Linked DNA regions of Drosophila melanogaster. The protein of the gene in region 1 interacts with the protein of each later gene in a pairwise test. Each region holds a gene or a part of one and is shown in the gene's direction. Other genes may lie near its edges.

Evidence for each region.
Region 2: the proteins of rib (region 1) and CG17195 interact in a two-hybrid assay, tested with the Drosophila melanogaster proteins (one large-scale study listed by BioGRID).

What each region holds. Positions count from the first base shown.
Region 1 is NT_033778.4:19,268,028-19,271,958, forward strand, and holds the start of rib (ribbon), read left to right. Parts: upstream 1-2,050; 5' UTR 2,051-2,759; intron 2,760-3,931.
Region 2 is NT_033777.3:25,775,596-25,779,349, reverse strand, and holds CG17195 (uncharacterized protein), read left to right. Parts: upstream 1-2,151; 5' UTR 2,152-2,168; coding exon 2,169-3,020; 3' UTR 3,021-3,074; downstream 3,075-3,754. Other genes in the region: CG4956 (uncharacterized protein), read left to right, coding at 1,121-2,029; CG17196 (uncharacterized protein), read left to right, coding at 3,144-3,754.

The sequences.
Region 1 (3,931 bases):
ATTCTTTATGCGCAGAGCTGGTTCATATCTTTACTAGATCGTTAGATCAGACAAGCCTCTATGAAGTGCTAACTTTTCAAAAAGCTTTGCTTCGCAAAATTCTAATGTCAGTAAAGCTGACTAGATACTTTGCATAGAAAAGCTTACATATATACATAAGAGAAGCAAATTCATCGGAATTTGTTTATTGCCAAAATTTTAGTAACAGAAAGAAATCTCTTCTGCTCTATTATTGTGCAAAGCTTAATGAATAAACAATTTATAAAAGCTTTCTCTTGCAGAATGTTATAATACTAATCGCACTAGACTTTCGTAAACTATGTTAAATTTATTCAAGGTTATGGTAACAATGGTTTAGTGATCTTATCACGCACTTAATATTGAATAAAAACAGGAAATTATCAGTAATTCATATACCAGAAAAAGAAACATGTAAGCAGTTATATATTTTAAAAAGTTGGCAATAATGGATCGATTAGCTTTATACGAAATCGTATAACCACTCTTTAAATAAAGGTAAGTTTTAAGAAGTTATCGAAAAACTAAATGCTATATGTAATGTTTCCAGATCTTAAACGTCATTACCAAGACCACAACAAGTCTTATAGCTCCCGATCTTTCCAGAAAGCTCTTCTGCGTGGCTGGTGAATTCTCCCGGTTAGATTCTTTCGCCCAGTAAGCTCCGCGCATTCGTGTTCTATTCCCCAACTAAGAACCACGTGTCTGGCGATTCTTTAAATCACCTCAAAGCGACAAAACACGACGTCAAGACAGCTTTTGACTTTTTGCGCAAAAATGGCGATACGCGATGTGCCAAAAATAAGCAAAAGCCCGCTCACCTATACTTGCGACAAAGCAGCGCACACACACTTGGCGAAAAGCTTTCGTTTTGCTCTTTTTGTTGTGTGCAAAAATGCTCTCTGATTGGTCGGCTTGCGAATTTCGGGGGAATTCGCGAGTCGCAAAAGCGAATCGAAAGCTTGCACAATTTGCCGAGCGGCAACCGAAGACCCTCGGCTCCACTTCGGTCACCATCGGTTCCAAAGAGCGAGGGAGCGAGAGCATCTGACTGTTTACGCGAAATTGTTATTGTTTGCAACTAGTTTTTGCGTTGTTTTTTTACGCTTTTTGTTGTTTTTTGCCGGCATTTTGCTCTTGAATTTTTGTTTTCGCTGCGAAATTCAAGTTCAAGTTTAGGGACGGCGGGAATGTTGTTATTGTTACTCAATTCTGGCGTGCTTTCGCACCAAAGTGTGTGTGTAAACGTATCTATGTGAGTGGGATTTGGGTTTGGGCTGTGGTTCTGTTGACGCAACTTGTTGCTTTCACGTCTGGGGTAAAATATTTAAAGGGCTTCCTTTACCTTTAAATCCATCAGATACTTCCACCACTTATCTATCTGAGAGATAGAAATAGATAGATAGATAGCTCATTTTTAAGATTCTGACTTCATAATATCTTTTTTTTTGCATTTACTAAATGGTTCTACACTTTAAATAGAACAACAATTCTGCGCTCATTGGTTAGCAAGGCTTTTCACTGTAATTGTCATTGAGCGATCCGTCCTTCCGCATTTTCACGTAGCCGCTTTTTGACCCTGGCCCACCGAATTTGTTTTCGTGGTAAACAACAAACTCAACTCGAGAACCAAAACCATACACGCACGCACACACACACACATACCAATATAGATTACAAAAATTTGCGCCGCATTTTGCTGTAAACAAAAATTGTGTAATAATCAAGAGTGACCCTGAAAAGCGCTTCACAGATAAACAAGCGGCCAACTGGCGGGTTATTTTTTTATTTGTCGATTGTTGTTTTCGACTCATGACTGTGTTGATATATTTGCAAAATTCTTACGTGGGCCCAAGGGCCGATGATAATTCTATGCTCGACGAAAGAGCTTTCCCCCCTCCAGAGGCCCAAATTTATATTTATTTTTTTTTCGCTAGTTTGGGAACTTTGCTTTTTTGCTCAATTTGTGAGTCAGTGGCATTATGTACTAGTATATTATGTACAGTCGAAGCTTTTTTTCTACACACACGCCATTTTTGCGGAGCTCTCTCTCTGCAGTCGAGAATCGGCGAAAGAATTAAAAAACAGATTCAGTCGGCTATACAGTCCCCACTCAGAAACAGAGAAACCGAGAAGCCCAGTTCCACTCGCAGTCCCTTTGGTAAACGCCTGAACTCAAGGTCAGTGCTCGTACCGCCGCAGAAGTTTGGCGGTCTGTCCAGAACTTACAGCAGAGCGACACATGTAAATCGCCGCTGCCAACCCTGCCCCGCCCTTCGAGATACACGAACTAACAGATACACAGATACACGGTTATATGTGCCCATCCGAATGCTTGTGAATACTGAAACACTTCCGAGAATCAGTTGTATTGCCCTTTTTTCATACTATTTTTTTCGTTGTTTAGTAACTTTGCGTCATTTTGCCATTCGAAGGCAAAGAGTTCACTTCGATCCAAGCCAAAAAAAAAACCAAAGAAAACTGCAGTGAAATATAGTGAAAATCGAAGCAAACACACAATAATGCCGGTTAAAATGTTGGCTGACTTAGGACCAGTGAAAACGTGGCCAGACTATGTGCGAAAATGTGAATCGAATTATGGTTAGAATCGGCGTTCTGATCAGCCAGCAGATACATTTGTAAAACGTGTTCTACGCACTCAACAAACCCCGAAAAACGTCGCTGGATCTTGCAGATACTATATGTACATGGAGTGAATAAAACAACAGCGGAAAAACAAGGTAAGTACAACACAGACGTATTCTATGGAGGGCGGTTTCGCCCCCACCTTCCCTTGCCATGTGACCATGGCCGTATAAATTCGAACAAAAATTCACAACGCTCGACTTGAAATTTCCCTCAAATTGCTAAAAATAAAATAACGCATTTGTGCGTGCGTTTGTGTGCGAGCGTGTTTTTGGTGAAAACATCGTGGAAAATGCACCCCATGCGCCGCTCGAAAAATGCTAGCCTGTACTTAACGGGGGCGTGGTCGTCGGCTTTCCATTTCCCGAATTTCCACATGTTCATTGAGCGGCAAACTGCAACTGCAACCGCCACACTCGAGTGGCGCTGGCGGCACAAATGGCATGGCTCGCTATTTATAGCCAACGCATTCGTATCTGCGCGCTTCATGGAGAGCATATGTACTTTTGTATCTATATCTATGCATATGCATATCTACGGCCGGATCTGCAACGACTTTGTCATATCTACATATACATATAAATAAATATGTACATATGTACGTGAAGGGACTGTCGCCCGGGAAACGCGATTTGAGTTACATACAAACGATCATTGCAAACATCAGTTTTATATCTGACGCCATACGCCCCATAGAAATAAAGTCTTTAGCACACAGAAAAAATTTAATTTACGCACTGTTTTTATGTGTCAACAACTCAATTTTGACTTTTCTCACAAGCAAAACTAAAGAAAACATATATTCTTAGAGAATTATGGGGTATTTAATATATATAATATATATGTAATTCGTAAATTACACTAAAAGGTTTGTCAATAAACTTTTCTCTCACTGTAAAGATTATATCTTTGTATCTGCGCCAGCGAAAACGATCACAAAATGGCCGACCCATGCAAAGTTGCAGTTGCACTGGTAGCCCCCCATCGCCACTTCCCCCACACACTTTGCACACATGCACAGATGTATCTGTATCTTGTTTGCCTTCTCCCGCTCTTCACCCAGCTCCCCCTGTGCCGCTCTTCCCCTCTTTTCCTGTTTCGCCTTCTTTCTGTTTGCTTTCGCCTAATTTTTCGTGCCTTTTTTACACAATTCTCGTTTAAATGTTGCCTTTTGCTTTGCTATCTGTCGGCCCTGTAAATGTATCTGTATCTGTGTGTTGTATGCTATGCTCTCGTATCTGTGAGTGCGTTGCAAAAGTGCAATGAC
Region 2 (3,754 bases), on another chromosome or scaffold:
AAAAGCAGTTGCCAACTCCGCAAGCCATTCTCATTTTTTGTATGCCCCTCCACCTACACCAAGCAAATGCTAATGACTCGTAGTGCCCACAGAAAGTCAAAGAAAGAGCTAAGCGAAAGTGGGGGAAAGTCAAGCCACAGGTTGACTGACAAACACATCGACGGCGCCGAGTGGCTGCCGGAAATGGCTGCGTCGAATAGCAGCACAAAATGGCTGTTTGTTTGCTTCCGGTCTAGGCCAAAGACGGCAAACACATTTAGCCACGAAGTGAGGAAAGTCCCGCCCCGCCCCATCGTACATATTTTATGCAAACGAAAAGCAAACTGCCACTCTACTTTACGGCAAAAAGAAAAACCACCTCAATAGGTGTGCCATACACCTCAGTGAACTTAAAATGAAAAACCGCGTCCTCACCAGCTTTCCCACCCGACCAGGCCACATTCAAAATGCTTAGTTCATATTAATAATTCATAAAAATTTATGCGAAATAGACAACATTCGTTCCTGCGGTCTAAACCTGGCCGACAGCTGCCATTTTGCGGTCGCTGGGCTGATGAAGTCGACTTAACCCAGCTGTTTCCTACATGTATTTGATATGCATTCCTCGTTGTTTTTATTCTGCTCTTTGTTTATACAACATACAGCTGCTGCAAAATACCATATTTTGCCATGCTGATGCCCTTTTTCCCTCCATTGTTTTTTTTATTTCAATTTATTTTCTGCTTATAAGCTTGCTTTATAAGCAAGGTTTTGCCTATACTGCTTTGAAAATGAAGTAAAAATTTGAGAAACTTTTAGGTGAAAACATTCCATAAGCCAAATCTTTTGAATTGTAGAATTCACTTAGAAGCGCCACTTAAATAAAAATTTTCTGCCTTCACAAATGACGCCAGCAATTATAAAACGTAATTTCGCAATAATCCGCTTAAAAAGGAAAAGAAATTGAATTTGAAACCACCCACCAAAGTACACATACATACAATGCCAGATTTTTACAATTCAGTGGGTGATGCGATTATGTCAGTTAGATACATATTTCCAAATCAAGGCAGTTCTGGTGCCCAAAGTCTATTAAAAATAATTTATTTGATAAATTTAACAATACGTCTGTCATTTATAAATGCTTCGATTTCGAGTTTTATTAAGATCTACTTGCGGTTGGAGTAGAAGAATGTGTTTTCGAGCCGAGGAAGGGTTTCATCGTCACTTTCAACTACATCGCATAAAAGTTATGGGCCTACTTCATCCGTTTTGTGCAATATTTTTACTCTGTCTGATTGGATTGCTGTTTGTCTATGAATTATGCTACGTTTTGCCGCAAATAACTGATCCCCATGGTATATGGCACAAATTGTGTTGGTTTATGGGAATTTATACAGTCATCAATATATTGGGCAACTGGTGGCTCGGCTGTATGACCAATACCTCAGTCGATAGCTTAGTTCTGGAAAGACAGTATCCTGTGGCAGGTGAGGCTCACCTGTGGCACTACTGCTCCACATGCCAAAAGCTGGTGCCACCGAGGTCCTGGCACTGTAGTTTGTGCAACATTTGCATTCTGAAGCGGGATCACCACTGCACCTTCTTTGCCAGTTGCATTGGCCATAAAAATCAGAGGTATTTCCTTGCCTTCTTGTTTCACCTGAGCTTTGGCAGCGGACAGGCGCTCGTCTACAATGGCATTTTGAATTGGACAAACAAGGCCTTTTTGGTCGTCGATCCTTTGTTGCTAATGTTCCAGGATACAACCCAAGATGCTGATTTCAAATGGAAGTACACAATCGCCAACCTTTTCAAACTGAATTTATTTCTTTTTGGCGTCCCCCTCTTCATGTTCGTCTTTCAAATGATAATGGTATATCGGAATAGTACATGCTATAAGATGCTCGATCGCAGCTATGATGTTGGTTGGAGAAGAAATTTTGATATGGTCTTGGGAAAACGGCGCTTCTGGATTTTTTTCTCTCCAACGATCTCAAGTCCTCTTCCTACCGATGGCACTCAGTGGTTCCAGAAGCAGACAGTGTAAATTTTGTTTGTAAAAACTTTGAATATAAGATAGCGAATAAATTCTATTATAATATGTCGGGTTGGCGTTTCTTCTTCTGTGATGTAAATGTTTCTATTTAGTCTATAATTTACAACAGAAGTTTTCAAAATCCTAAAAAATGTGCTACGTGAATAGATTTTGCCATTACTTTGCCAATCGCTACCCGAAGAACTTTGTGAGGATAGTGCATCCACTTTCGATAGTTTTCGTCCTGTGCAGCACAGCTTTCTTCTTCTCACTGCAGATGTTTTACATTGCGCCCAAAGTGTTTGGCGACATTGCTTACAAGCTCTACTGGATATTGGTCACCTTCATAACGCACAACATACTTGGTAACATGCTGGCCTGCTATATGACTAGCTCATCGGTAAACACCTTGTCCAAGGACTCCCGATGCCCGAATCCAGAGGATGAGCCCCTGTGGCACTATTGCGAATCGTGTAAAAAGCTGAGATCGCCACGATCCTGGCACTGCGTTTTGTGCAACACCTGCATTTTGAGACGGGACCACCACTGTATATTCACGGGCACTTGCATTGGACACAATAATCAACGCTTTTTCTTCTGGTTCACATTTTATTTAACGCTCGGCTTAGTCACAAGCTTTGCAACATTTTGTATGTTTATCCTGCAGAATGGCGGTAACTTCATGAGTCTCTCGTCTGTGATTTTTAATTTAATAACTAGGACTTTTTTCCAAAATTATACTGGCAATACTTTTGAGACCATTGCCTTCCTCTTGAATATAAGCGCCAGCTATATGCCTGCCTTTATGTTGGCATATCAAATGCAGATTTTAAGCCAAAACTCTACCTACTATAATATTTTTGATTGCACCTACGATCTGGGTTTCCGAAAGAACTGCCAGACAATAATGGGCCAACGAGGACTTTGGACTTTTATATCGCCCTTGCTGAAGAGTCCTTTGCCCCATGACGGTGCACATTGGCAGATGAAGCAGTCTCACTAAATTAATAGACGTATTACTAAATTATTGAAAAATATATATCGATTTTAACAAGCCAATCATAACTTATTTTCATCTAATGTCAAGTTGTGGAAAATACGGTGTTGTATTCAAAATCCTACAATCATGTGTATCGTAAATGATTGGTGCCGCGAATATGCCAATCTCTATCCTAAGAAGGCCGTGAGCATAGGACATCCTTTGTCAGTGATTTTTTTACTGGTGAGCACGGTTTTTTTCTTCACGCTGCAGGTCTTTTATGTGGCCCCCGATGTGCATGATGGTTTTATGTATAAGTTCTTTGTGATATCAGCGATTTTTACAACATACAATATCCTGGGAAACTTGCTGGCCTGCTACCGTACAAGCTCAGCAGTGAAAAGTCTGCCTCAGGAGCGGCAAATTCCGAAACCGGGAACGGAGCACCTGTGGCATTATTGCGATATCTGTCAGAAACTGATGCCTCCACGATCCTGGCACTGTGCACTGTGTAAATGCTGCATTTTGAAGCGAGACCACCACTGCATCTTCGCAGCCACTTGCATCGGACACAATAATCACCGATATTTCTTCTGGCTTACATTCTATTTGGCATTTGGGATTTTCATGAGCATGGCAACCCTATTTGTTGATGTGGGAAGGAGCTTTTATCTTTTGCACAGAATGAAGGCTGGTTTTGGAAACACAGTAAAATCTTTAAGTTACTTTCGGTACGTGTGCTTGATTCTCAATATATT